Linked DNA regions of Tamandua tetradactyla. The protein of the gene in region 1 purifies or fractionates together with the protein of each later gene. This does not show direct contact. Links are inferred from orthologs where the notes say so. Each region holds a gene or a part of one and is shown in the gene's direction. Other genes may lie near its edges. The genes, in order: POLR3H, POLR3GL, POLR3C and POLR3K.

What was found.
Region 2: the proteins of POLR3H (region 1) and POLR3GL purify together in Homo sapiens (co-immunoprecipitation; 4 studies listed by BioGRID and IntAct, counting the BioPlex papers as one, with this or other methods). This does not show direct contact. The link is inferred for Tamandua tetradactyla from reciprocal best matches to the Homo sapiens genes POLR3H and POLR3GL.
Region 3: the proteins of POLR3H (region 1) and POLR3C purify together in Homo sapiens (affinity purification with mass spectrometry; 5 studies listed by BioGRID and IntAct, with this or other methods). This does not show direct contact. The link is inferred for Tamandua tetradactyla from reciprocal best matches to the Homo sapiens genes POLR3H and POLR3C.
Region 4: the proteins of POLR3H (region 1) and POLR3K purify together in Homo sapiens (affinity purification with mass spectrometry; 3 studies listed by BioGRID and IntAct, with this or other methods). This does not show direct contact. The link is inferred for Tamandua tetradactyla from reciprocal best matches to the Homo sapiens genes POLR3H and POLR3K.

What each region holds. Positions count from the first base shown.
Region 1 is NC_135333.1:34,706,207-34,713,474, reverse strand, and holds the start of POLR3H (DNA-directed RNA polymerase III subunit RPC8), read left to right. Parts: upstream 1-4,268; 5' UTR 4,269-4,333; exon of another isoform or gene 4,334-4,577; 5' UTR 4,578-4,597; coding exon 4,598-4,708; intron 4,709-7,268.
Region 2 is NC_135330.1:1,432,058-1,439,607, forward strand, and holds the start of POLR3GL (DNA-directed RNA polymerase III subunit RPC7-like), read left to right. Parts: upstream 1-4,539; 5' UTR 4,540-4,651; intron 4,652-5,835; exon of another isoform or gene 5,836-6,678; coding exon of another isoform or gene 6,679-7,550. Other genes in the region: LIX1L (LIX1-like protein), read right to left, coding at 3,445-3,712; ANKRD34A (ankyrin repeat domain-containing protein 34A), read right to left, coding at 6,679-7,550. UniProt on the Homo sapiens protein: DNA-dependent RNA polymerase catalyzes the transcription of DNA into RNA using the four ribonucleoside triphosphates as substrates. Specific peripheric component of RNA polymerase III which synthesizes small RNAs, such as 5S rRNA and tRNAs.
Region 3 is NC_135330.1:1,319,319-1,326,153, forward strand, and holds the start of POLR3C (DNA-directed RNA polymerase III subunit RPC3), read left to right. Parts: upstream 1-3,833; 5' UTR 3,834-4,192; intron 4,193-5,042; exon of another isoform or gene 5,043-5,129; 5' UTR 5,130-5,223; intron 5,224-6,289; 5' UTR 6,290-6,310; coding exon 6,311-6,457; intron 6,458-6,835. Other genes in the region: E3 ubiquitin-protein ligase RNF115, read right to left, coding at 3,484-3,585. UniProt on the Homo sapiens protein: DNA-dependent RNA polymerase catalyzes the transcription of DNA into RNA using the four ribonucleoside triphosphates as substrates.
Region 4 is NC_135349.1:57,276,695-57,284,640, forward strand, and holds the start of POLR3K (DNA-directed RNA polymerase III subunit RPC10), read left to right. Parts: upstream 1-4,991; coding exon 4,992-5,102; intron 5,103-7,946. Other genes in the region: RHBDF1 (inactive rhomboid protein 1), read left to right, coding at 285-379, 560-635, 703-803, 915-1,068, 1,237-1,656; SNRNP25 (U11/U12 small nuclear ribonucleoprotein 25 kDa protein), read right to left, coding at 2,714-2,771, 3,154-3,228, 3,602-3,707, 3,850-3,940, 4,538-4,579. UniProt on the Homo sapiens protein: Core component of RNA polymerase III (Pol III) which synthesizes small non-coding RNAs using the four ribonucleoside triphosphates as substrates. Can mediate Pol I proofreading of the nascent RNA transcript.

The sequences.
Region 1 (7,268 bases):
AATGTTAATTGCTTTTGATAATTTAATTTTTTTTTGGAGTAGATAATATATTCCCATTATCCCAAACATTAAAGGCGACAAAGGGTATTTGGTACAAAATTCTCCCTCCCACCCTCTCCTCCCCCTCATTAAGTTTCTGTCCCTGATGCCAACCAATGTAATCAGTTCCTAGTGTATCCTCCCTGTGCTATTTTCTGCAGAAACCAAGACTTCTGTATATAAACTATGATTTTCCTCCCTTTTTTTACACAAATGGTAGAGTCACAGACACTCTATTCTGCTCCTGGCATTTTTACACTTAATATGCTCTGAATAGCATTCAATGTCATGCGAAGAATATTCTCACTCTTTTTCCTGACTCCACAGTATTCCATCATATGACAGACCATATTTTTTTTCAACCAGTTCTCTACTGGTAGACTGTCATTTGAGATGGGTTCTGCTGTCCTCTCCATTTTTCTGAGAGGCAGCGGAGGCACTGAAGGGTTCACTGACTTTTCCCAGGTTGTGTGGCCGTGGCGTGGGAACTCCAGGTCACTGTCCTTGACCCCTTCCCTCATTCCTTCCTCTTCCTGCCTTGATTAGCTTCCAACCCTTTTTCCTCTCTTATTCCGACGGCCTTGGCAATTATTTTGTTATCCCTTTGTGCGTTCAAATAACACGTATTCACAAGCCCCGCAGAGATGGAGGGGACATGACAGAGAAGTCCTTGTTATCGTGGAGCCTGTAGGCCACTGTATTTTGTAAACCACCTCAAACCCTGCAGAGATGACGTGGAGAATAAATGAGGTCTGGTCCTTGTTTTCACCAGTGAGTGAACCAATTGTGCCAACAAATCACTGTTGCCGTCTTGTGAGCTGAATACCCTGAGAGATGCCTGGAAATCCAAAACGCTCTTCAAGGCATGCCCCACCCCCCACCGCCTCCCCCAGCCTGGCCCTCCTCCAGTTTCCCACTCAGTTGAATGGCCACCAGCCGGCCAGAGGCTCCTCCCCCTTCCCTCCCCCAGGTCATCCACCCAGGGGCTGACACCCACTGAATACCTCTGGACTCTGCCCAGCACCTCACTCTCCACGGCCACCAGTCTTGTGCAGGCCTCCTTTTGCCAAGGCCACATAATAGCTTCCTCCCTGGCCTTCCTGTCTCCACCCAGCCCCCTCCCATCCACTCCCCCTCCGGCTTTCCAGTGTCATTTTCCTGTTTGAACTTTCCAGGGCTTCCCATGGCTACCCTCTGGATAGTGTACGTCATGGTGGCACAGGCCATTGGTTAGGGCTCTGGAGCCTGCATCCTAGCTCTGCCACTTAGTATCCGGGTGACCGTGAACGAGCGACTTTACCTCTCTTTGCCTTAGATTCTTGCCCTGTAAATGGGATAAAAGCCTCTACCTCATAGGGCCAGTGTGAAGATTAAATAAGTTAATACCTGTAAAGCACATAGAACAGTGCTTAGCATATAGTAAGTGCCCCATAAATGGTAGCAGTAAATATTATAGTGATAAGGCTAGGTTTCCAGCCTCACTGCTCATCAGTTCTCATCTCATGTGTTAATCAGCTTGTTCTAGTTTGCTAGCTGCCAGAATGCAATATACCAGAAACGGAATGGCCTTTAAAAGGGGGAATTTAATGAGTTGCTGGTTTACAGTTCTAAGGCTGAGAAAATGTCCCCATTAAAACAAGTCTATAGAAATGTCCAATCTAAGGCATCCAGGGAAAGATACCTTGGTTCAAGAAGGCCGATGAAGTTCAGGGTTTCTCTCTCAAGTGAGAAGGCACATGGCGAACACTGTCAGGGCTTCTCTCTCAGCTGGAAGGGCACATGGCGAACATGGTGTCGTCATCTGCTAGTTTTCTCTCCTGGCTTCTGGTTCCATGAAGCTCCCCAGGAGGCGTTTTCCTTCTTCATCTCCAAAGGTTGCTGGCTCGTGGACTCTCTGCATCTCATGGCTACATCATTCTGCTCTCTCTCACGCTCATTCTCCAAAATATTTCCTCTTTCATAGGACTCCAATAAACCAATCAAGACCCACCCAAATGGCTGGAGACATGTCGTCACCTAATCCGATTTAACAACCACTCTTGACTAAATCACATCATCCAGGGAGATGATCTCGTTACAGTTTCGAACATACAGTATTGAATAGAGATTATTCTACCTTTATGAAATGGGATTTATATCAAAACATGACTTTCCTTAGGGGGCATATATCCTTTCAAACCAGCACACAGCTGAATTACTTTTCGTTCCCTGAGAGCACCAGATGTTCTCTCTGCATCTGTTCCCTGTCCCCACCCCATCCCCAACTCTGATCTGAGGGTCCGGCCTCTCTTCCCTTATTGGATCCCCAATGGCTGGGCACACTGTATGTTGAATGAATGAATGAGTGACTGGGAAAAGCATCACATTTGGGTGCTGATGAATGAGTAAGAGTTTTCCAGGTGGAGAAGAGGCATACAGGATATATCTATAAAAGGGCCTGTTCCATTCATGGGGCTCCATTCTGGTGCCTGGAGGACAGAGGGGAGGCAGGCTTAGACGGGAGGGCTGGATAAGTCGAGACCTTTTTGTGCAGGCTAAAGAGTCATGAAATGAAGACTTTTGTGAAGATATGGAGGTGGCTTGCAGGAGAGATTGAGGTTGGGAGGCCAGGAGGTGTGGCTAAACTCCAACAGAGAAATGAAAAAGCCTGAACTAAGGTGTAGCAATGGGAATGGAATAAAGGGGGGCATTTGAGAGAAAAATTAATATTGATCTCTTAAACACCTTTGCTGAATACCTCTGAGGAATGATGTTGGGGGCTTGTGGGAACAAAGAGCTCAAGTAACATTTGCTCCTGCCCTCAAGAAGCTCAAATCCCAGCAGAGGTAGGATAACCTATAAATAAAAATATGCACATGCAGGGAAGGCCAAATTCGGTATCATCACAGCCAGTCTCATAGTCAGAGAGATCTCTATGCTTGCGAAATCAGCAAATTTAAGCACTGTGCATTTCAGAATGCTGGCCGTCTGTCTCAAGGATTTCTTTAAGTTCTCAAATTGTTGTTTTAGTCAAAACACACTTCAGTTTAGTTGCACACCCCACCAAGTTGTACATTTCTAACTTTTAGAGGCAGAGTGGTACAGAGGTTTAGATGGAAGCCTACCCCTTCTACTTGGCAGCCCATGATCCTGGACAAGTTCCTGAATTCCATTAGCCCATGTTAGTTATCGTGATGAAAATGAATGAGATTGGAATGGAGAGGGGAGATAAGATGGAAATCGCATAGCAGGTAGGGCAGAATCCTGCCAAAAGTTGTGAGCCACCCTAAAGGCCTTGGACTTTATTCCAAATTCAGAGGGAAGCTGCTGCAGTTGTTTTCCCCCAATTTATTATCATCTATTTTTTTTATTGTGGTAACATATATATATAACATAAAATTTTCTATTTTAACCACTTTCAAGTATAAATTCAGAGCTATTAATTACATTCACAATGTCGTACTACCCTTACAGCCATTGATCACCATAACTTTTCTATCACTCCAAACAGCAACTTTGTACCCATTAAGCATTAACTCCCCACTCCACTTTGACCCTACTGTACTTTGTCTCTATGAATTTGCATATTCTAATTAATCTTGCAATACTTGTCTGGCTTATTTCACTCAACATGATGTCTTCAAGGTTCATCCATATTGTCTCATGTATCAGAATTTCATTCATTTTTTTACAACTGAATAATATTCCATTGCATGGATATACTACATTTTTGTTTATCCATCCATCTGTTGATGGACATTTGTATTGCCACTTTAAAATTGAGATAAAATTTATCTACACTACAATGCAGATATCTCATTGGTTGAGTACCATGAGTTTTGACAGTTGTGTGCATCTGTGTAAGCACCACCTAAAACCCGACGAAAAACATTTCCATCTTCCCACAAAGGTCCGTGGTGCCCCTTCGCAATCAATTCTCATCCCCAGAGCACTGAAGGTTTCAAGCATATTATGTTTGCGTTTTGTAAGGATCACTCTGGCCGCAATGCAGAAGACAGTTTGAGACCGCCCGGGAGGGTGCGGCACATCGCAGGCGGGAGGAGAAGCGATCGGGGAGCCCGGAGGTCGCCTCGGAACCAGAAACCGGGGTCTGAGGGTTCCCAGCTCCCAGCGGACTGAAGGGGAGGTGCCGCTCACACCACGCCCCCGGCCCAAGCCCCGCCCCGTCCAGCGCACGCAGCCTGTAGGTAGCCCCGCCCCGGGTGCGGGCGGGCAGACGCTTCCTATTGGTCTGCTCTCCGGAAGGAACCAGATTCGGGTTCTTGAGCCCAGCGGAGCGGCCGCGGGTTGCGCGGTGCGTGTTTGCGGTGCGTGGTGGTGGCGGGGGTCGTGTGATCCGAGCGCGGGCCGCCAGGTGCGGCCCTTCCGCTGGGCCTCAGTTTCCTCGCATTGCGGGAGCGGAGCCTGACCAACCCTTCGGGCCACCTTGCCGGCCTGGGAGTGGGGAGATCGTCTCAGCTATTGGGAAGGATCGGAGCGACCTCGGGGGTCCCCACCTCCTCAAGGTCCCCGTGCATGATCGACCCCGCCGTTCCCAGGGCCCCCAGCGGTGGCCGGGATGTTCGTCCTGGTGGAGATGGTGGACACCGTGCGGACCCCTCCATGGCAGTTTGAGAGGAAGCTCAACGACTCCATCGCCGAGGAGCTGAACAAGAAGTTGGCTAACAAGGTGCTGGGCCAGCGGGGTCGCGGGCAGGTCTGTGCACGGGAGGGCCCAGCACTTCCCGGGCTAGATCATGCCCAAGGTCGGCATTGGGCAAAGAGCTGGACGTCTCTGAGCCCGGGTTTCTTTGTCTGTAAAAAGGGATGGGGTCATCCTTACTGCACAGGGGAGTTGGAGGGGACCAAAGAGAAAATGGGTTTGAAAAAGGGCTTTGAAACTGGAAGGTGCTGGATTCCACGCTTCCAACTTACTTTGCAACTTTGGGCAAGTCACTTACCTTCTCTGGGCCTTAGTGTCCATTTGTAAAATGGAGATAATAAGGGTTATCTTACCAAGAGTCACATTGTTTTTGTGTATCATAGAGGTAACAGGTGTATCCATTCCCTCCTGCAGCAAGGATTTGCACACCTTCTGTGTACTAGGCCCATTTATCTTAGTGCCCTCTGCCTTTTCTGGAGTAGCCCCCCACCTTAGTTCTTCTGTGTCAGCACCCTCTTTCCTTCTTAGCACTTACCACATTGTTATTTTCTTCTTTCTTTATTTATTTGGTTATTTTTTTTCTCTTTTCCTTCCCATGAGTGTTGAGACCTTTTCTGTCTTCTTCCCTGCACCTAGTGAGAACCTGGCACAGAGTAGGCATTCCAGATTGTTGATTGAATGAATGAAGCAGACAGGGTTCTGCCATATGGTCTGGTGGGGGAAGCAGACATGAATGAGAGGGTCTCACAGATGAATGTGTGTTGAGGTGAAGACAAAGACACTTGCCCACAAGCCTCTGAAACACAGGAATTCACTTGGAGTGAGGGTGACTGCTGCTTTGTTGAGGAGATGGTGCTGGGACTGAGATCTGATGGTGAGGGGGTGGCCTAATTAGGGGATTTGTCTTGGGGGCAGTAGGGGCCTGGTCAGGGAAAAGAGCTGTGCAGGCAGTGGAAAAAGCATGTGCAGAGGCCCTGTGGCAGGAGGGAATATAGTTCCTAGCATTGCATGGCAGAAGCTGGTGCAGCTTGGGCAGAAGGGAAGTGGGGGTGGGGTGGCGAGGCAGGCAGGAACAAGTTTACAGGATGCAGAACACACCATCAGGATATTGTTTTTATTTTTTAATTTTTTATTTTTTTGCATGGGCAGGCATTGGGAATCCAACCCAGGTCTCCGGCATGGCAGGTGAGGACTCTACCTGCTAAGCCACCTGGCCCGCCCAGGATGTTGTTTTTAACCTGCAGAGCAGTGGAAGGCAGTGGAGAAAAGAAAGAAGAGAACTATAGACTTTAGACAGGAGGCAGGACCCTTTAGTAGAGGCTGAGGACACAGGAGGGGTGTGTGCAGATGTGGGGGGCTGTTAGGAGGTGGGGAGGACTCTTGAGAACTTAGTGGATGGCTTCTGTTTCCTTTGTGACGAAGAAGGTGAGGGGACCTGTGGGGGGGTCGAGGTGTGAGCATCATGGAGGGAGAAAGTCCAAGAAGGGAACCTCATCCCTTTGGGGCATGGCTCCTTCAACATTTGGTGAAAGGTGAGAGACAAATTTTTCTGTATTTGCATAATCGGAGGAGGCCTCCCAGAAGAGGTTCCACAAGCTAGGGCACAGATCTCCATGTGCTTCCAAAGCCCGTGCACTCTGCGTCCTTATGGTGGAGAGGTCTGCCCACCTAGCTGAGTTCCCCAAGTGCCTTGCTAATCCCTGAGCATCCCTACAAAAACTCTGATGGGGTTGACACGGTGCTGGTGAAGGGAAGCAGGCACTGAGTGGCTAGTCATCGGGGTGGGATGGGCACCCCCACCCCAATGGAAGCCTGGTAGTTCCATTTTTACAGATGGGGAAACTGAGGCTCAGAAAGGTGAAGTGACCCTTTTGGAGGTCAAACAGTGAGCAGTGGAGCTGGGATTGTTCCTGGATCTGTCTTGTCACCCTGTTCTCTGCCAGCCTTCAGTCCATGTGGCCATATCTGTGGGCCCAAGACTGTGGACAGAACAGAGATTAGCTGCAGTTCTGAAATTCGCTGGGCTGTGAGGCTCTGCCTGGCTTTGGGGACATTGGGAAGTGTAGGTGTAGCCAGGAATCTGTCTTCTGCCCACCCTTACTAGTAAGAGTAATTATCATTAATTGACAATTATTAGTTAATAGCATGTGAGACATACATGGTGTTTTAGTTTGTAAGCTGCTGGGGTGCAATATACCAGAAATAGAATGCCTTTTTTTTTTTGGTATGCTGTATGTTGGGGGTCACATTTCATTCTTTTTCCATATATCTTTTCATTCTTTTTCCAATAACTATCCTGTTATTGCAGTGCCATTTGTTGATTTGTTGGGGGGGATAAGGGGGAAGTGCATGGGCTGGGAATTGAACCCAGGTCTCCCATATGGCAAGCGGGTATTCTACTACCTGTGCCCCTGGAATGGCTTTTTAAAAAAGGGGGAATTTACAGTTCTAATGCCATGAAAATGTCCAAATTAAGGCATCCGGGGAAAGATACCTTGGCTCAAGAAGGCGGATGATGTTCAGGGTTTCTCTCTTAGCTGGAAAGACAGGTGGTGATGATCTCTGCTGTCTTTGTCTCCAGATTTCT
Region 2 (7,550 bases), on another chromosome or scaffold:
CTTTGGTATGTGCCACACATCCATAACCTAGTCCTCGGAACTGCGAGTGTGACCTCCGGCAGCAAGGACTTTGAGGGTTGATTAAATTAAGGACTTGAAATGGTGAGATTATCCTGGGGGTCTGAGTGGGCCCTGAATGCAGACACAAGTATCCTAACAGGGAAGGAGAGGCAAGTGGCCACAGAGGGCAGCGCCGCAGTCACAAGCCGAGGAGTCCCAGCAGCCGCCAGGATCCGAAGAGGTTAGAGCAGGTTTCCCCAGAGCCCCTGGGGAAAGCATGGCCGGCACCCTGAGTGTGGTCCACATGCACTGATTTCAAACGTCTGGCCTCCAGAACTCTGGGAGAATAAATTGCTGTCATTTTAAGCCACCAAGTCTGTGACAGCTTGCTATAGCAGCCATGGGAAACTAATATAGGGGACAACACAGTTTCCCAAACTGGAAATATTCAGACCAATCATTTTAACCCCACGGTCACTTTCAGGCGAAGCTGCCTGTAATTCTGAGGAGAAAGGACAACAAAGCAGAAAATACCATTCAAGTGACACTTGTTCAACCTAGAAAAGTAGCGGGGCACAACCTCTAATCACGTAGCCATACTATAACATAAAGAGAGGGCAATAATTCAAAAAATCAGGCTTGAAGAGAGCAATGCAGCAGTTACACAGCAAGGAAAGTGACTTGGCCATTCAGTCAGTTATGCTGGTTTGGGGATTGCTAGCTGTCAGGCATTGCAAGAAGGTGGCTCTATGTCATGTGGAAAAGGGGGGACAAAGGAGGCAGAGTGTTAGCAATACCTGTCGTGTGCAGAGTCTTCAAACAACTTCCAGATGCATAATGACAGCAACCACTCACTGGGTACCACGTGGATTGGGAACTTTATATTCGCTGTCTTGTTCAATCCACACAGAGCCATCAAGACAGGTATGACGATGCTCATTTACAGAGAGTAAAAAGGATCACACCACAGTGGCAGAACCAGGGTTTAGAACCAATGTTTGTTTGGCTTCAAAGTCAACCCACTTTCTGTTGTACTCTCCTGCTTTACTACACCATTCATCCTCACACTTGTTTGGAAAGTGGATGTGAGTTCCACGAGACTAAGGACTGAGAAGCTGTCTTGTTCACCACTGCGTCTGCTGAGCAATAAATACTTGTTGAATGAATGAATGAAACTATGGGGTCTTGAGAGATTAAGCAAGATCACACAGCCAGAACTGATCAGGATCCTACAGCATACTGGGCTGTGCGTGTATCTTTGGAAGTGGATAGGTAATAAAAGGACAAACAGCTGAAATTCCAGAAGAGTTTTTGAAGAAACGCTGAGATCCTAGAAGAATGGGGTAAAGGGTGAGTGTGAAGAAGATGGAGGGTGTGCACTGAAGACGGTGCAGGAAAACACTGCTGGTCCAAGAAACGGTCTGGGCAAAGGCCAAAATATGCTGTACTCAGGAGAGCAGAGCCAGCCCCCAAACACCAAATGCCATCAGTCACATGGGCGTGTGGGACATGCCAACGGCAGCTTTGCCTATTCATTGGAGCAGAATAAGTGATTCCATGTGGGGATGGACTTCTAAGCCAAATCAGCAGAGATTCGCTTGCCTGAAGTTTAACTATCTGCCAAACTCTTCCAAAGTACTGGCTGGATATCCAGACTGGAAACGGGAAGCGAGCATCATGGGAGGGCCTGCGGTGGGAGGTGGGGGGCTGGAGGAGGGGTCTCCACACAGCCTACAGCGCGACTGACTGCTCGATGTCAGCACAACTCCCTTGTTCCCCATCCTTTCTAGGGAAATGAAAAAAGTGTCCAGATTAGAGGCTTTCCAGGTAACACAACTAAGAAAGGATACATTGTAGACTTTTAATAAATGCCTTATCTTCCCCAGAGGAAGTGGTCAGATGTCAGACTGCCAGTCCTGGCCATGCCCATACCCAGAACCAGAGGCTGTCCCTTGGCCTCCACCTATAGATCTGAAGCAGGACACAGTGGATGGCAGTTCCATCACATTGTCCTCTAAAAACCAGAAACTAAAGTAGAAAAAGAACTCTATCCCCTCACGGTGAGTTCCAAAAGCACATCCACTGCATCCCCAGTACCTTGCAGCGTGCCTGCCCCATGGTAGAAATTCAAAGTACATGAAAAATGAAGGAAAATGATCATAAATGAATCACTGGACATATAAATAGCAAAATGGACCTAAAATTTTGTTTTCATACAAATCTTTGAGTTTACACTGTACAGATTTAGAGTGGGAGGAAATGAGATATGTTCTTCCCAAGAAAATATAAACCAATATATTTTAGATATTAATAATAGTTATCATTTAGTAAGTACCCATTATGTGTCATTTAATCCAAATCATAACCCTTGAAGAAACTGAAGCTCAGTGAAATTGAGTCACTTCACCAAGAACACAGGATGGCAAAGATGTAATCTGGGACTGAATCCAGACCTGCCTGACTCCAAAACCCGTGCCCCTTTAGCTGGGCTTTCTCAGACAAAACAAGTGGTCACCATCTAAGGACAGCCCTGCAGTGTCTCTGCATTATTGTTAAACCAGAAAGCCAAAGGCGTTGTCATTTCCAGGCCGAGCAGACAGAAGTGATGTCTTAAAATTCCAGACCTAAAAGCTGCCTTCCTCACCCCTCAGCAGATAGTCCTTGTCCGTTACACTAAATCTGAAACTTCAGCTCAGAAAGAAACTGGTTAAATAAAAACCACAGAGAAAATCCTCCCATCCCCCTTGCCAGAAACCGTACAAATGAGGCATCTCTAAGATGAAGATTTCTAATGGAAATAGAGTTTCTGCCTGGCTCATCTCCACAGAAGTGAGCACTCGGGGCGCCCGGGCCTGGGCTTTATGCTCAGTTCCTGGGCAAGGGCCAGGACCGCGGGGCCCGCCGGCCGGAGGCCAGGGGCGCGGCCGGGCGCGCAGACACTTGGCTGGGGTGGGCGCCACGCCGGGGGCCCAGATTTGGAGGCGCAGCTACCGAGTGGCGCGCGCAGGCGCCAGGTTGTCCTGAAGTTGTGCAGGAAGTTGCCGAGGGAAGTAGGAAAAGCACTGGAAAGTCAAGGTTAAGGAGAGAGTGACGGAGCGGGGGGCTTGGGGAATCGCTGGGCTCGCTGGGGACAGTCCGCGAGGACACGACTGAGAAAAGTCCGGGATCGAAGATAAGGCTGAGCGGCCCAGACCACGGGCCTGGCCCTCGACGGGGAGGGGTGCTGAGACAGCACTTTACACAAGCCCCACTTCACAAGGGGGAGGGCCGGGGAAGAAAAGACGGCCGGGGCGCGGGGGCGCGGGGCCGCAGGGGAAGGAGGGGGCCGCTCGGTAAAGGGGTGCACGAGTGCGCGCTGGCCGCCCCAAAGGAGCCCCCGACGGCCACGCCGCGGGGCGCGGGCGGGGGGCGGGGGGCGCTGCCGGGGCGAGGGCCTGCACTCACCTCGCCCGTAGCCCTGCGTGTGCTTGGCGAAGCTCCTCACCACCGCCTCCACCGCTTCGCGCAGCACCGCGGGGCCGCCGGCCGCTCCCGGAGGCAAGGGCAGCCCGGGGGCCGCGGGCGGCGGCGCGGGGGGCGGCGGCGCGGGTGGGGGGCCCCCAGGAGGCGTGGCGGCCGCGGCCCCCGTCACTCCGGGCCGCAGAGCTCGCAGAGCGCCGCGCCCGCCGGGCCCCACTCCGGGCTGCAGGCGCTGGGCGCGCATCGTCTCCATCCGCCGCGGCGGGAGCGGCGGCCCGGAGTCCGGCGAGGGGACTGCCCAGCGGCCCGGCCAGCTCCAGGGGCGGAGGGCGGGGCCGGGCGGCAGCAGCCTGGCGGGGGTGGGGAGAAGCCAGGCCGCACGCCAGTCATCAGGGAGAGGGCGGGGAGAAGCCGGGCCGCACGCCAGTCATCAGGAAGAGGGCGGGGAGAAGCCGGGCCGCACGCCAGTCATCAGGGAGAGGGCGGGGAGAAGCCGGGCCGCACGCCAGTCATCAGGAAGAGGGCGGGGAGAAGCCGGGCCGCACGCCAGTCAGCAGGGAGGGGGCGGGGAGAAGCCGGGCCGCACGCCAGTCACCAGGGAGGGGGCGGGGAGAAGCCGGGCCGCACGCCAGTCATCAGGGAGGGGGCGGGGAGAAGCCGGGCCGCACGCCAGTCACCAGGGAGGGGGCGGGGAGAAGCCGGGCCGCACGCCAGTCATCAGGGAGGGGGCGGGGAGAAGCCGGGCCGCACGCCAGTCATCAGGAAGAGGGCGGGGAGAAGCCGGGCCGCACGCCAGTCATCAGGGAGGGGGCGGGGAGAAGCCGGGCCGCACGCCAGTCACCAGGGAGAGGGCGGGGAGAAGCCGGGCCGCACGCCAGTCATCAGGGAGGGGGCGGGGAGAAGCCGGGCCGCACGCCAGTCATCAGGGAGGGGGCGGGGAGAAGCCGGGCCACACGCCAGTCACCAGGGAGAGGGCGGGGAGAAGCCGGGCCGCACGCCAGTCACCAGGGAGGGGGCGGGGAGAAGCCAGGCCGCACGCCAGTCATCAGGAGGGGCGGGGGCTGCCGGATCCAGGCCAGCCATAGGCGAGTTACCGCGGAAGGCGGAGGGTCTTCGCGGCCAATCGCAGAGGGGAAGCTGCATCCTCTTCAAGGGAGAAGCGGGACTTGGGCCGGTCTTTGGGGATCCCGTGGTGAGTACGAGAAAGCGGGCCAGACCCCTGGGGTGGAGCTTAGAGAAAAAGTAGGAGTCGATACAAGGCTGGGGAGAACTGTAGACAGAGTGAGAGGATTCTTAAAAGTAATTGCCCGACTACTTCATTTGACAGCTGTAGATGAAGAAACTGGCTCAGAGAAGTGGTGTGTAAGATCACACGCAATTGATGGTAGAGACAAAGCAAGGAAAGATACTGACAATGAGCTGACTCTTAAGCTCTACGTCAGGCACTAGGCGATGGGCTTTACTGCATTGTCTTATTTAATAATCTCAATCACTAATTCAGTTTTGTTTTATGGACAAGTAAACTGACGTTCAGAGAGACTATATAAATTGCCCTATATCAAATAGCTAGGAAATGGCAAAGCGAGATTCAGACCGATAGGTCTTCTGACTCCCAGTATTTTGATATTTTCACTACACCACATTGTTCAGTGACTTTCTCATTTGACCTAAATTGGAGGAGAGAGTAAAAGTAGGATGGGCAACAACCTTCACCTCCCAGTAGAGTGAAAAGAGAATATATGTAAAAACCCAGCCAACTGAGAGGATAGATTAGCGCAGTGACCCTGTTCATAGGCCCTCCAAGGCTGGGCTTCTTCGGTTACTCCTACACACTCCCTGCACACCCAGTGTCAGTTGACCATCATGTCATGTTTACACAGGTGAAATTATTCTAGGTACTCCTCTCCACCCCACCCCCACCTCCCTTATTCTCTTTCTCACTGTGCCCTACAGTGACTCAGAAATCAATAATGGGGAAAAAGAGGCCAGAAGTAGAAGAAAATGAATAAGAGATACCCCCAAGGAAAAGCACGGAGTGATCAAGAAATAGGAAGCTTGGAAGAGGGACATTTAATCTAATGAAATGTGTCTGTTGAGGGCAGAGCTGTAGGGATCTAAGTTAAAGAGCTTGGGAAGGGATGTGGGAGAGAATGGGGGGAAGAAAACCCAGTTAAATGACTTAAAGCCTTCAGAACACTTACTTTTCCTTCTACAAACACGGTTGGTCATGTGGCCCCCTAGAAAGTAGGTGGCTGGAACTTCTAAATATCTCCTGGATCATTATAGCTTTGGTCAGCATCACCCTCCCTCCCCACCATTTCTCATATCCCATGTTTACCACTCCCAGGCAGAAGAGTGACAAAGCAGAGACTTCTGAACACTTTTATTTGATATGTCAAGTGGAGAGAGAAGTGATTTAGGATTGCCCCCCACTTCACCTGTGGGGGTGTTCATAAGCTCAGACAAAAACAGAAGAGCAGCTAAGGGCTCAACCTGCCCTTTGGGAAAACGAGACAACCTGCTGTGGTGTATTAGTTGGGGGAACAGGGCAGGCATGAAAAGCATGGAGTTGAGAAGGGAAGCTGAGAGCAGGAAGAGCATCAGCAGAAGTGAGGTTGGGAGTTACCACAGGAAACCTCCAAGAAGAATGAAGAAGATAATCCTCAAAAGCGGATGGGGCTGGACGCAGTGTGTGAACAGGGAGCCCACCCTGGAAAAGCAAGGCCTGCAGAGCAGGGTGGGGCAGTTGTGAAGAGGGGAGTGTGTGTAAAGTCATGATGGCGCCTGTGTTACAGGGCACACGTGGAAAGCAGGGGGTTGCCATTTAGGGGACGTTTTCAGCAGGAGGGCAAATACAGCAAGGACTACCCATAGGCAGGACCTCCCTACTGCTTCTGACAAATGCGAGCGAGTTTGGGGTCCGTGTGGAGTCCTCGCACAAGTGGCCCTGTGTGTTTATTGGTTTGCCATGCCTCTGGGCACACAAGTGATTTCATATAGGTGTGAAGTGAGCAGGGCATGAAGGCATGGGTCTATAGGCCCAGTAAATAGAGATTACCCTTTCCTACAAATAGTACTGTGCTTGTGAACACGTTTACCCACGTGTGCGTGCAGCGTGCCCATGAGCACATGCAAGTGACCCTGTGCAATGCGTGCGAGCTGTTCCCCCATCTAGTCCTCAGGCCCTGACCCCCAGCCTCCCGGCTCCTCTCCCGTGTCTCAGCGCCCCGGCTCCCCCGGCCCACCGAGACTCTGGAAGCCCCCTAGCAGGCGGATCTGCTCAGTTTGCATGGAGTGGCGCCGCACCAACTTGCGCTTGGCCCTGGGAGAGCCTGGCACCCCCGCGTGGGGAGGGGCGGGCAGCGAAGGCGCCCGACCTCCGGGCTGGGGGCGGATGTCGGGAATGGGGGGGTGGGGGCTAACGTTGAGAGGCGGTAGGAAGCCAGGCCGAGTTTGCGCGATGTGGTCCAGGAGCAAGGTCCCTGAGCCCCTCCGCTCCAGCAGCCCGGGGCTCCGCCTCCGGCCGCTCAGCGGGGATACAGCCCCGGGCAGACTCTCCTGGGACTGGCGCGGGGAGGGGGCCGAGGCAGCGGGCGGGAGGGTCAGTGGGGAGGCGCTGTATCTGCGGCGCTCCAGGGACGGGCGGCCGCACTCGGGCGAGTCGGGGCACAGATGTCCGGGGCCGTCGAGCTCCACTGGCTCCATGCGGCTCAGTTTCTGCCTCAGCCCTGCAGGGGGGCAGGGCTCCTGCGCCTCCGGCGCCGTGTTGCGCCGGGAGAGGGGCCCCCCGCCCGCCACCTTCTCCGCCCACGGAGGCGGGTCCTCTGGGCCCTCGGTGCTGTGACGGCGGGAGAGGCGGGGGCGGCCGGTCAGGCTGAGGCCGTTGAACTCGGCCGTCAGGCGCTCTAGCCCGGGCCTCGCCTCGGCTGGCGGAGCCGGTTGAGGGGGGGCCACGAGGCCCCAGGGCTCAGAGTTGAGCCTTTTCAGTGGTTTTGGGGGGTGGCGGGGTGGCTTGGGAAGTGGCTCGGAAGGGGAGGGGTCATCGGGGGGCTTGGGGAGCGGGAATTCAAAGACGTCCCGCCTCTCCTCCT
Region 3 (6,835 bases), on another chromosome or scaffold:
TCAGCAGGTAAGAGTGGTTGCCTGCCATGCCCTAGAACCCGGTTCAATTCCCGGTGCCTGCCCATGTTAAAAAAAAAAAAATCTCTTACTTTAAAATCCAAGTTTAGTACTCACCAAACTTTACTAAAATTATATTCACATTAATAGGAAAACATTTTTAGTACGAGAACTAAATTTCAAACTGGAGGATGGAACATCTGAAATCCGATAAGAAACAGAAACTACAGGGAAAAAAATGGAAAAATATGAGAAGGGACTCAGGGAACTGAATGATAATATGAAGAAGTAAATTCCAAAATCAATATTCCCTTCTAGGGACTCTTATTAGAGCTGACAGAAAACAGTACCATTGATACATTTAAATTTCACAATTCCCTTCATGATTTTCCCTAATTTCTTAATATCTCCTTTCTGAACAGAGGCTTTGTCCTCTTATTAGGAAGTATCCAAACCCAAGACACACGAAGCTGAGATGGATAGATCAGAACTAGTAGAAAGGCATGTTATTCCAACAAATTAAATTAATTTAACCATGCAGCTTAACCTCACAGCATTAGGCATAGAAGCTGTAATGAAAATTATTTTTCTTAATACAGAAATTAATTCTACAAAGTAATAGGACTAACAAGAAAAATGACAAACAAAAACCTAAAGGTAGATTCAGGTTTGAACCTTGGTTAAGCTGTTGCGATTGGCCACGCTCACTTCCAAATGTACCAAGAAATGACAGATTCCAAACACTGAGGGAGGTAAAAAAGGGAGGGAGCTGTGTACTTTTCCACCCAGTCTCAGTGAACAAGGGGAGACGGCAGGGGCCGAGATGGCGCCCCAGCAGGCACCCCACTGCGCGGGGAGGAAACCCACCCAGAAGTAGCTCATTAGAGGAGGTACAAATGCCCAGCCTCTGGCAGAGGAAGCGCTCCGGGTGATGCTGCTTCTTGTCACCCAACGGCTCCTACCCGCTTCAGATGCAAATTCAGTGAAGAGAGAGGAAAACGTTCTTCAAGGAGAGCTGGGTCTGGCCGGCCTCACACAGACCACAGGTTCCCGTAATGCACGTCCAGTTCCCCAAACATGCATGCCTAATGCAGGCTGGCTACTCACAGTGGGGGAATCTCAAATTCATATACACATATGAATACATATATGGATATATATATACACACGTTTTTTTTTTGTTTTTTTGGGCTACACATTAACTGAAGTAATCTCATAACAATCCTATTTACAATGGGTTCACATCACAGGAATGAATTAATATGAAGAACATGTTTGGAGGGTACATAACTTCAAGTCACACACCAATGAAGCTTACCTATATGACTCTATCCTCTATCTATGAAATAAACCCAAACAAAAACAAAGAAATCTATGTGAGAATGTTAACTTCAGCATATTTTTGAAATGGTCAAAAATTGAAAATAACCTCAATGTTTCTAGTAGGGACATAGCAATATATTATGGTTCTATCATATAGCGTTCTATGTGATCACTTACAAGAATGAGATCGTGTTCACCTATTAAGGAAAGTTCTCCAAGGTATATTAAGTAAATAACAAATTACCCCAAACAGTACCCAGAATATTATCTATAATATATGCTAGATTTAAATGATATATTTCATATAGAGATATACACATATATTTTCAAGTAATATTTCTTTCTACCAATTTTTTATTTAGATTGTTTTCTTTTTTTTATTAATTAAAAAAAAATTAACTAACACAACATTTAGAAATCATGCACATATGTTTTTAAACTTTTAAATGTTGAGTTTAGCCATGAAAATCAGGGCATTGACTTAGCAATGCTTGAGCTGGCTCTCCCTAGCAGAGACAGATTTGCACAGAACCAGCCACTTCATGGCCGGGTCATCCTTCTAACCAACTTCTCAAGATGACCATCTGGGCTTAAGGACACAGAGACGGCCAGGAAGCAAGATCAAACTCACTGGTTCATACACGAATCACGACTATAACCTTGACCTCAGGGCGCCTTTCCCTAGAAAAGCATAACAACGATATACTGCCTCTCCCCTCTTCCTCGACTCCCTCTTCCTTTTTCCACCTCACAGCCTAGGCTATTCTATCCCGTCTGAATTCACCCATCTCCTTCACAACCCAACTCACATGCCACACCTTCCTTGACCTCGCCAATGCTATCCTGTCCTCCTTTCTGCGAACATTACGGCATCTGTTACCCCATTCTCAGTCACCTTTGTTATTATGTTTTCCCTACCCATGCTGACTTTCCCACAAGATTGTGAGGTCCTTAGGGCAGGGACTGTAGATTCCTCCATGCCACCCCAGGACATGCCGCAGGAGGCCTTGTACGCATACAGCAATATTTATGATATTTAACTGTGTTCGGCTCAATTTCAGACAGGCATGACAGATACTAAATCAAAGTTAAAAGATCAAGAATTTCTCCTTCAGGCATTTAACAAGGCTTGAAAAATCACTTTTAAAATCCTCCAAATTACTGCTTTCTACAAGCACTTACGAGTGAAGACTTGAAGTGGTAAGAAGTGATAAGTTGTGAGAATTTGGACTAGATTTTCTCACTCTTAAAGGGAAGAGAGGGAACAATGACTTAAAACGTGGGAACAACGAGGCCGTAAAGTTCAGCAAAGCATCCTATCTGACAACAGGTCGAGGGTTCCCCGCATACTGGTGGATGCAGACTCCCCTCCACAGTGAAAGAGCTCTGCAAGTTCCAGCAGCACCGCTCTTCCCAGCTGAAACATGGAGAAAGGAAAACAAACAAAACCCACATGTATACAGCCAAATCACAGGCAAAGCTCAGCGTGCACATGCAGCACATGCGGCTTAATGGGTTAGCCGGACCCGAGCCCTAACCGCAGTCAGCCTCCAGGCCAGCGAACCCCGGGCCTGGACCAGAGGCAGCCCCCGCGACCCCCGAGGCCCGCTCTTCGCCGCGGGTCCCCGCAGCAGCTTTTCCGGGCAGGCGCCAGGGCAGCTGGCCGCCGCGGGGACGCCTCCTCCCGGCGCACACCCACCCCGGGGGCCAGAGCCTCGCGGGCCCCACGCGCCGACAGCGCCGTCTTCCGGGGAGCGGGCAGGGGCGCGCCGAGGACGCCGCAGGGGCCCCACGGGCCGAGCTGCAGCGCGGCCCCCGGTCACTCCGCTCAAGCGGGCGGGAGCGCGCGGCCGCCGTCGGGGCGCTGCGGTCCTCGGGCCCCTCGGCCACCAGGGCCCCCTGAGTCCCTGCTCACAGCCTATCCTTCAATTCCCTGAGTCCCTGCTCGTCCCGGGTGCGGCCTCCCCCCGGCGGGTGCGGGACGCAGCGGCACGTGGACAAGAAGCCAGGAGCGCGGCGGGCGGGAGCCGACAGGGCCGAGCGCGGCGCGAAGGTCATCGCGGGAGGAGAGGCGGCGACGCGCGCCCAGAGCCTGCGGAGGAGGACGCCGCCTCGGGGCCCCGCGGGAAGGCCGGGCGGGCGGGGCCGGGGTCGGGCTCTTACCGGCAGTTTAGGGCTGACCTCGCCCTTGCAGAAGTGGCAGAAAAACCGGTGCGCGGCTACGGCGGCGCCTGCGCCCGCCCCGGCCGCCGAGGCCTCCGCCATCTGTCCTCTTCCCCGCGGCCGTCCGAAGGGCAGCGGGCCCGTCCCTCCCCAGCCGCTATCTCCAGCCGCGGCCGCCGTCTCCTCAGGGCGCTGGGCGACCCAGCCACGGCGGTCACGTGAGCCCGCCAGGCCGCGGCCTCCCAGCACCAACGAGACACCGGGAGGAGAGTCCTCAACCGAGGCCCGCCCCCAGCACCAACGAGACGCAGGGAGGAGCGTCCTCAGCGAGGCCCGCCCCCGACATCGACGAGATGCCGCCAAGAGCGTCCTCGGCCGAGGCCCGCCCCCAGCACCAACGAGGCGCCGGCTGGAGAGTCCTCAGCCGAGACCCCACCCCCCAGCACCAACGAGACGCAGGGAGGACCGTCCTCAGCCGCGGCCCGCCCGCCGCCTTAGCCGGCCTCTTTTCCAACGAGAAGAAAGGAAGAGCGTCCCCGGAAACCGCAAAGCTGCGGGTAGAGCGGACGGCGCTTTTACACCGGGCGGGTTGGTTGTTTTGCAGGAAGGGCCGGAGGCCCCGATTTTCCTGGGCTCAGTCGCGTGAAGAGGTGGAGGGTTACTCGTCGCCGTCCCTAGGTGGGCGCCCCTGGACTGCAGCGACCCCGAGGTTAGTGGAACCAGGGCCCCGCGGGAAAGAGTGGAGGGTCCGGGTGGGACCCCTCCGCGGCCTCTCCGTGGGGTGCAGGGCCCGGGCGGGACCCCCCCGCGGCCTCTCCGTGGGGTGCAGGGCCCGGGCGGGACCCCTCCGCGGCCTCTCCGTGGGGTGCAGGGCCCGGGCGGGACCCCTCCGCGGCCTCTCCGTGGGGTGCAGGGCCCGGGCGGGACCCCCCCGCGGCCTCTCCGTGGGGTGCAGGGCCCGGGCGGGACCCCTCCGCGGCCTCTCCGTGGGGTGCAGGGCCCGGGCGGGACCCCTCCGCGGCCTCTCCGTGGGGTGCAGGCTTCGGGTGGGACCCCCCCCGCGGCCTCTCCGTGGGGTGCAGGGCCCGGGCGGGACCCCTCCGCGGCCTCTCCGTGGGGTGCAGGGCCCGGGCGGGACCCCTCCGCGGCCTCTCCGTGGGGTGCAGGGCCCGGGCGGGACCCCTCCGCGGCCTCTCCGTGGGGTGCAGGCTTCGGGTGGGACCCCTCCGCGGCCTCTCCGTGGGGTGCAGGGTTCGGGTGGGACCCCTCCGCGGCCTCTCCGTGGGGTGCAGGCTTCGGGTGGGACCCCCCCGCGGCCTCTCCGTGGGGTGCAGGGCCCGGGCGGGACCCCCCCGCGGCCTCTCCGTGGGGTGCAGGGCCCGGGGCCCCCAAACCTGCGCACCCTGTGGCGGCCGTGTCCGGTGACGCCGAGGCTGCGGGGCAGAGACTCCGCTTGCGAAGAATGTGGAGGAATCGGTGTAAACCAGCGTTTGGTGCAGAGTGTGGCACGAGGGAGTGACCACGTAATCGATCAGTTGTGCTTGTGTTTATTTTCTCAGGGAATAGAATTTGCGGAATTATCCTATTTGAAATACCACGTTGAGAAGCTCTCCTTTACCTTCTAATTGCGTCTTCTACACTGGCAGGTCTTTCATGGAGTGGGAATGATCCTGCCTGTTCACCGCGTGTGTCGTGAACACTGGTCTTAATTTTTCCAAGCAATGAAGTAAAGAATCTGAGGTCTGTGACGCGTCACAAAACTTTATATAATTAAAAAGAGTTAGAACCATGCGTAATCCCAAAAAGATAGGTTTGATGTATAGTCTTCCTGTCTTTTCCTTTTTCCTGTGCATACGTTTTTCTTTTTGTTTTTAAAGCAATTGAACTTTTTATTAGTAAAACTGTAGGTTTAGAGAAAAGTCTTGCATAAAATGCCGAGCTCCCATATACCCACCCTCCAGTTAGTAACACCTTGTATTAATGTGGTTCCTTTGTTACAACTGATGAAAAAATATTATGATTATACTACTAACTATTGCCCATGGTTTATATTAGGGTTCATTGTGTTGTGCAGTCCTATCTTATTGTGGTTTTTTTTAAAAAAATTTTGTTCTAGTAACTTACAGACAATCTAAAATTTCCTCTTTTGAACACATTCTTATATATAATTCGGTGCCGTTAATTCCATTCACAATGCTGTGCTTCCATGACCACCATCCGTTACCAAAACTTTTCCATCACCCACGTAGGAACACTGTCCAACTTAGACATTAAGTTCCCTCCCCCTAGCTTATCCCTGGTAACTTAAATCCTAGTTTCTGATTCTGTGAATTTGCTTATTTTGACTTTCATATTAGTGAGATCATGTAATATTTGTACTTTGTTATCTAGCTTATTTCACTCTTGAGTTTTTAATAGACATTTTGTTTTGTAACTAGCTCTTTTGACTTAATGCATTATAGCCAATTTTATATGCTAATCAATATTGTACTATATCATCTTAAATGTTATAGTATTCCATTGTATGGGTAGACCCTAGTTTATTGAACAAATGCCTTACTAGACATTAGGTTGTTCAGTTTTTCACTGAATAAAGAAACGTACAGTGACATCTTTTTATAGTACGCAGAGTGAAACTGTCAGGTTGAAGGTGTGCCAGAATGTAAGGCTTTTGCTGGATTTTACCAAATTGCCCTCCAGAAAGAGTACACGAATTTATACTCAGTGGCTCTACTCCCAATAGGAAAGAAAAACTTTCTGTGCTACTATCATTAATTGTGTTCTCCCCCCCCCCCTTACTTTCTAGTTTTGAAATCTCCCCGTTACAATGACTCAAGCAGAAATTAATCTGTGCTCTTTGTTGCTGCAAGAGCACTTTGGAGAGATAGTAGAAAAAATTGGAGTCCATCTAATCAGAACTGGCAGTCAGCCACTAAGAGCAATTGCCCATGACACAGGAACATCGCTGGATCAGGTCTGTTTAGATGGCATTAATTTGCTCTTCTCTAACCTACCTTAAAATATTCTTCCCCAACCCAGAAAATGAAAAAGCTTGCCCTGGAATCAGTGCAGCTTTTTTTTTATTTGTGGGAAAGAGGGTGGGACTTAGGCACCAAACTTCTCTTCTTAGGGAATTCCTAGTTCATTGTGTCTTCCTAGGCAAACCCTTCACCTTCCCTTGCCAACCTCATGTACTCAGGACGGTTTTGTTCATCTCAGTACTACTTTTAAGGAATGAGGATGATAGAGGGAAAGAAAAGTGCTTTGAAGGATAAGGCTCAGAGGACAGATGAGCATCATAGCGAGGAATTTTTCCGGATTTCTTTCCTTGACATGTGATTCTTGTTAACTT
Region 4 (7,946 bases), on another chromosome or scaffold:
GAGGGCCCCAATCTCAGCAGCACTCACGGACCCAAATGCCAAAGCCCTGGGCTTCACCCAGGCTGGCCCCCTGTGCCTGAGCAGGTGAGCTTTGCACTCGGGAGGCCACGCAGCACTGTTGCAGTTTGACAGATGGGCCAACTGGGGCTCAGGGCGCAGTGGCCTGCTTGAAGCACTGGGAGGCCTGTGAACCTGCCCCCTAACTTTGTTCCCTGCTCCAAGCATGGTTTGGGGCCCAAGGCTGGGGACAGCCCTGACCCACCTCATCCCCACCTGCGACCCAGATCTGCACCAAAAGCAGCGCCGGAAACCACACCAACCACCCGCACATGGACTGCGCCATCACAGGCCGGCCCTGCTGCATCGGCACCAAGGGCAGGTGTGTGGTGCACATGCACAAGTGGGCCCTGGGCTCAGAGCATGGCCTTGGGGCTGGGCCCTCCCTCACTCACCTGAAATTCAGGCAGGATTCCAAGGGGACCTGGGCGAAGCTGGAGGGTGGGACGGGAGCAGGCCCCCTCTGCACAGTGACACCCTCTACTGCGGCCTGACTTTCCAGGTGTGAGATCACCTCCCGGGAGTACTGTGACTTCATGAGGGGCTACTTCCACGAGGAGGCCACACTCTGCTCTCAGGTAGGCCTCAGGTGGGTGGGCGGGGGTGCCCCTTCCCCACTCCAACACTGATGGCTGCTCTGGGCAGGTCCACTGCATGGACGACGTGTGTGGGCTCCTACCCTTCCTCAACCCTGAAGTGCCCGACCAGTTCTACCGCCTGTGGCTGTCACTATTCCTGCACGCTGGGCAAGTGCTGCCGTCGGGCTGGGCAGGGCTGGACAAGTGGGACCAGGGGCTGGGATGGGGCCAAGGTGGCCCGGACACCCTCCCTGCTGAGTGCCTCGCTCCTGCCCGCAGGGTCCTGCACTGCCTGGTTTCCATCTGCTTCCAGATGACCATCCTGCGGGACTTGGAGAAGCTGGCAGGCTGGCACCGCATCTCCATCATCTACCTGCTAAGTGGCATCACTGGCAACCTGGCCAGTGCCATCTTCCTGCCATACCGGGCCGAGGTGAGCTGTCCCCTCAGGGCGGGGACCCTCTGCTGGGCTCTGCAGTCCTGCTGTGCTTCGGGCCATGTGAGGTGGCGCTTGAGATGAGGCCCGGGGCACAGGGCATCTGCTCAGCTGGGATGGGCCCGGGAATGCCACAGCCAGCTCATGGCCGCCCTGCTCTCCCAGGTGGGCCCAGCGGGCTCGCAGTTCGGCATCCTGGCCTGCCTCTTCGTAGAGCTCTTCCAGAGCTGGCAGATCTTGGCGCGGCCCTGGCGTGCCTTCTTCAAGCTGCTGGCCGTGGTACTCTCGCTCTTTACCTTTGGGCTGCTGCCTTGGATCGATAACTTTGCCCACATCTCAGGCTTTGTCAGCGGCCTCTTCCTCTCCTTCGCCTTCCTGCCCTACATCAGCTTCGGCAAATTCGATCTGTACCGTAAGCGCTGCCAGATCATCGTGTTCCAGGTGGTCTTTGTGGGCCTCCTGGCCGGCCTGGTGGTCCTTTTCTATGTCTACCCTGTCCGCTGCGAGTGGTGCGAGCTCCTCACCTGCATCCCCTTCACCGACAAGTTCTGTGAAAAGTACGAGCTGGATGCGCAGCTCCACTGAGCCAGGCTGCAGGCTGGCCTCCCAGCAGGCCGGAGACAGGAGGCACGCACGCCCCAGCTGTGCAGGCTGTGGACCTGCTGCCTCCGAGCCGGACTCGATGTTCTCCACACACACACCTCGGTGCCTTGTTTAACCCCTCGTGCTATTGGGGTTTATTACCAGTTCTTGCAACTACCTTTTAACTAGTCTCTTGACGACCACCTCATGTGGCCAATAAATGGACTGGGAGCGTTTTAGCTGCCACTAACTTACTATGAATTGTCTCTTCCTTTCTGGTTTCTGGCTGGGCAGCCAGTGAGGTTCCCCAGCCTCCAGGGCCCTCGCCTCCAATGTCCAGTTCCCCAGGACAGGCTCTCCCAGTGAGGTCACAGTGAGGTGAGGGTGGAGCAGGACTGCAGGGACCCGCTGGCATGCCCTCGCCCTGCGGGGGCGCTGCCCCACCTCCCTGCATGTCCAGCTGCTCGTTTCACCACCACCCCTCCACTGAGTCTGAGACTGCTGCTGGGAAAGCCTGTGGGGTTTCTGTGGCTGTATGCCCCACACTACCACTGTGGTCACCAGGACCCAGCCCTTACTCCCCCACTAGCTCAGACAGATGGTACCCGTCTTCTGTTCCCTCCCCACCACACAGGCAACGGGAACAGGGCTATATGGTCGGGGGAACAGGTGTGCAGTCTTGGGCCTCACCCCTCCTCATTCCCAGTCCCTCCTGCTTAAGGTACAGTTGCCTTTTTGAATTTTCAAACTAAAAAGCAGATTTATTTTGTATACAAAGCTGGGCCCACAGGCTTCTAGGATCCACCAGGCCATCGGGATGTCTGGGCCCAGGGAGGGGTCAGCTTGGCCAACCCAAGCAGGAGAGGAGTGCCTGGGCCTGGGCCTGAGCTGCCCATCCCAGAGGGCCCTGCTGACAGCCCCATGGGGGAGGGGGAGGAGGCAGAACCCACCTGGGGTGATGCCACCTCAACCTGCCTCTGAAAATGGACGGTGACTTAAGGGCTCTTTCCTGCAGAAAAAGCCTGGCCACCAGTGAACAAAGCTGCCCTAGTCCAGTGGTTCATTTTTGCCTCAGCTTTTTGATGAAGGAGACCTCATCCCGGTTCCGGATACCATAACTGAAAGAGAAGGAAAGAGGGCCGTGTTGGACCTACACAAAACTCCTCAGGGGCTCCCACCTGAGCTCCTGAGAGGCTCATCTAGGACAGTCCACATGTCCGTCCTCCCGCAGCCCCACTCTTCTCCATGCACATGCAGCCCCCCAGCACGCACTCCTCATGCTGGTGAGATCTGCAGTGCACTCAAATCTGCTCCTCTGCCTGTCCTCCACAACGCGGGAGGGCTAAGACCCAGCTCCCTGGAAGCACCCCAGGACTTCTGCTGACCCCACAGGACTTCTTGGGAAGGCAACAGCACCCACGTGCTCTTGGCTCTCCCCTAGGAGGGGTCCTGGAGGCAAGAACCAATCTTCCCAGTGGTGAAGATGCAGCCTGAACTTACTCTCGGAGCTTCTTCCTGTCCTCTGTGAGCTTCTCCCCTGCGGACGTCAAGTGGTACGTCCTCCACACGTAGGACCTGCGGGAGGGACGCAGGTGAATGCCTGCTGCCTCAGCCCTTTGGGACCCGCAGCGGCCTGCCTCTCCTTCTGTGCTATTCCTGCACCACGTGCGCCCCTCCAAGTAGCTCCAAGGAGGTGCTGCTCTCAAAAGACCAAACACCCTCGGCTGCAGAACCAGGCAAGGAAGGGAGGGGCTGCCAGCAGACAGCAGCACCACCAGGAGCCCAGATGAGGATGGCGCAGATGAGGAAGAACTGCCCGAGCTTCTTGGGGCAGGGAGTGCGTCCCTCGCCGCTTTACAGCAGCAGTGCTCACTTGGAGCTGGAGCTACTTCCCCGCCGGCCCACGCCTGCCTCCGAAAGGCTGCCCAGGAGCCACCACCCCACCTACCAGCTGATGTGCTGGATGCCGCCGTCCCGCTCCTGCTTGAGCTGCACGTATCTCTGGATGGCCTTCTTCAAGTCCAGGACCGTGGCGTTCTGCACGACGACCACAGCTGCCACCGGGGACACAAACGGGAGACCGTGGTGGGGACCGACTGTCAGAGCCCACATGCCCTGCCCACCCCTGCTAACAACAAGGCATCCATGCACCACACGTTGTCTCGCCACCTGGCCCTGTGAGGACGGGCCACTTACGCATGACTTCTCCATCCATCTTGCACACACGGACTGTCATTGCCTGTCCATATTCTAGTGCTATCTGGGAATTGACCTCTTCCAAAGTGACCTAGAAAAGACCAAGGGGTGTGTGGGGCCCAGCGCTCCTTCATTACCCCAAACAGCATGAAGGAGAACAAGCTGGCCGTGTCCACACAGTGGTCACCACGTTTTATGAAGGGTAGGGAGGGAAAGGGGGTCTTGCCTGTAAACTAGATTTCCCGCTTACTCGTGTTCCACCCACACATTTACGTTCAAGTTTCAGACTGGACAGAAGCGGTGGGCGTGGGGTGGGGGCCAGGAGTACAGACACAGGAGGATGCGCCCACTCCGGGTCCAGGCCTTTGCTTCCTACAGCCTAAAGGCTGGGCAGGAGAGGACGCCGGGCTGGTCGCTCCACCCGGAGGGCCCTCGGTCACCAGACAGGGCCAGCGTGCGAAGGGTAAGGGGCACCGGCACGCGCACGACCCGAGACGACGGGAGTGTAAATGCACCACTCATGGAGAAGTCAGCTCTGGACTTGTTTGTGCTTAAAGCCTGCCCACCGCGAAGGTTTTCTGTGCACTAACTGCGGCTTTTAAACCTGCTGCGACCGCGCGCCGCGAGCGCCGCCGAGACCCGCGCCCGGGGCCTCCGCCAGCGCGGGCACCTGGGCCCGCCCGCGCACCTGGATGGGGAGGTCGCACAGCAGCGGGTCCTGCACCACCATGGCGAGGCCCTCCTGGAACACGTCCACCGCCTCCGAGTGCGGCAGCGCCTCCTCCTCGTCCTCCTCGTCCTCCGGCGCCAGTGGGCGCGCCCCGACCCCCGCCTCGGCCAGGGCGGCGGGTGCTGGGAGCCGCTCCCGCAGGCTCGCGCGAGGGTGGCAGAGTGCGCACGCGCCGGGACCGCAGCGCGCAGAGCGAGGGAGGCAGGTCATTGGTGCATCTGGAAGACGGGCGGTCATCATAACCAATGACAACCGCAGGACAGTTTGCTGCCCGTCCCACAGGGCGCACGTAAGCGGCGTGTCTATTGGTGAGTTGAAGGACAGGCGGCTGCCAAGGCCAATGAAAGCTCGAGGCCTCGGCACCGACGGGTCCCGGAAGCTGGGGCCGTGGAGACTGCCGGGAGTCGCCGCCATGTTGCTTTTCTGTCCGGGTTGCGGGAACGGGCTGATTGTGGAGGAGGGTCAGCGCTGCCACCGCTTCGCCTGCAACACTTGCCCGTACGTGCACAACATCACCCGCAAGGTGAGTCCCGCAGGCCCGCCGCGCCACGGACACCGGCTTGGTCCCCGCCACCCCCCGTCAGCCCACAGCGCCCTTCCTCCGCTCTCCCCCAGCTTTGGGACTCCCGCGGCCTCCAGCCGCCTCGTACCCCAGGGCCGCCCCCAGGGGCGGGCGCAGCCGCGGCGGTACCCCGACCTTGCTCGCTCGTGCGGCCGCTGCGACGCGGGCCTCCTGGAGGACCCCCACCGCGCCGGGCCTTTGCCCGCTTCCCTCTCCCTGAGGAAGCGCCCTGCAGCTCCCCCGTTATGTCCTCCTCCCGTTTTATTTTTTTCCCCTAGGACTCACCTGCTAACATCCCATATAATTTTTTAAAATTTATTTATTTATTAATTTAAAAAAATTAACAAAAACAACATATTATTCCGTTCTACATATATAATCAGTAATTCACAATATCATCACATAGTTGCATATTATCATGATCATTTCTTGGAACATTTGCATCTATTCAGAAAAAGAAGTAAAACGAAAACAGGAAAAAAAATTTATGCATACCATACCCCTTACCCCTCCCTTTCATTGTTCACTAGTATTTCAAACAATCAATTTTAACATTTGTTCCCCCTATTGTTTATTTTTATTCCATATGTTCTACTCGTTTGTTGACAAGGTAGATAAAAGGAGCATCAGACACAAGGTTTTCACAATCACACAGTCCCATTGTGACAGCTGTATCATTATTCAATCATCCTCAAGAAACATGGCTACTGGAACACAGCTCTACATTTTCAGGCAGTTCCCTCTAGCCTCTCCATTACATCTCGGATAACAAGGTGATATCTACTTAATGCGTAAGAATAACCTCCAGGATAACCTCTCAACTCTGTTTGGAATCTCTCAGCCACTGACACTTTGTCTCATTTCGCTCTTCCCCCTTTTGGTCGAGAAGGTTTTCTCAATCCCTTGATGCTGAGTCTCAGCTCATTGGAGGCTTTTTTTTTTACTTTTTATTTTTCTCCTCTCTCTCTCCTTTTGTTTTAAAATTCTATAATATAACATATTTGTTGTATTTGGTTTGTAGTGTTTTATTGTGTTTTACATTTCATTAATAACATGATGTTGAGGTGACGTGAGGTACCCATTAGCTCTTTTGCCCATTTTGTAATATGCCCATTTTGTTTTCTTATTGTTGAGTTTTCAACACCTTTACTTTTTAGAGTAGAGCACGTTCGTGCTATCTCATTTTCCTTTTTTTCTTTTAAACAGATAAATACATAATTTATCGTTGTCTTCATTTCCATTAGAATACATTCCTGGCATTTGCACCTCTACCATTTCTAGAAGTGGGTATTCTATTTACGTGTAGGTTTCACCTCTTAGAGGTTAGAAATTTAAGAATAATTATTAATGCGATAATTTACTTAGGTACTGATTTTCCCTGAGCACAGGATTAAATATCCCAAACTAAATTTATAACAACATTTTGTTGCGGCTTCATATTTTACTTTCTTCTTTTAGTGAAACCTGGACTTTAAGATGTGATCTTAGAATCTGCAAGTACTGAAGCATAGTTGGATTGAAAATGAACTTCAAGCCATTTTACTGTATAATCAAGACACATCATCCCATCTAAGTCTTTACTTGATCTAAAGTCCTGATATTGATAAGCTTTCGTCTATTACTAATATCCCTTCTCATTAGTAAAATAAAGTGTTATCCGAGCAGATTATCTTAAGTTAAATGCATTTTAAGTTTCTCTAATTTTTTTCTTATCAGCTCTTAGTAATAATTTTTGCTTCCTGTAGGAGGGAGAGTCCTGGAGTGGTTTATTCAGTATACACTGTTATTAATTAATTAGCTCTGTAAACTTCATCAGTTAATTAAGTTCACCTTTCAGAACTTCCTGTTTCTGATCTATAATGTGAGGAGAGTCCTTAAGGTCTCTTCTAGTTCTAACATAAAATTATAAAGACCCAAATTATGTAAATTTGTACATTTATAAATTTCCTTTTAAAACATTTTCAACACAGCCTTATAAAACATGACACAATTTGTTACAAAATTGTGAAGCACTACAAATTACTTTCTTTGGAGTCTTACTGATAAAGTCAGTAAATACACTTATTTTATAAAGGCTTTTTCAAATGTATTGAAATAAAGCCGAAAACCAAGACACTGTAATTGATTATAATAAATATTGTTGCTAGGGACTATATAGATTTTTGCTGCTTAAGACATCTCTCATCACAAAATGATATAAAACCAGTGTTTTTATTAAATATGTAAACTTATCTGAAATTTATTTAGTATCTGATGCTTGTGAAAAATTCCTTTTAAATACATTTAATTTCAGTGGGAGAAAATAGAGAATCTTGATTTTCTTGACATCGTTGGTTATCTCATTCTTCTTAATGTTTGCAAACTACTTAACCATAAGCAATAGAGTCCAAAACTCGTGTAAACCCGAAGTTCCAAGGATGTCTGATAAAAGCCAAGCATAGACTGCTTCGGAAACTCTGTGCAGGGAGTGACCAGTTTACCCCACTAAGTGGTGCTCTTTGTTTTTGAAGTTTGGTTGTATTTGTTGCTCTCATTTTGAGTTATACCCTGGAGGGGTGGGAGAGGAGGAAGGCCTGTCTGAAGCCATTCTTTCTTCTGCTCTGTGCCTCTCTAATCCATACAGAGCTCTCCTCTACCTGTTGACTCCCACTCCTTGGCTCGGGGTGTGCCCTGATCACAGATTCTCTGAGTTCCAATGTGGTGCCAGGGACTGGTCTGTGAGAGCAGGAACTTTTATCTTCTGACTGTTGAAGGGAGGAAGTCTGGGAAGACACGAGGGCGCTTGTGGTTTGGTGCCCAGGGTTT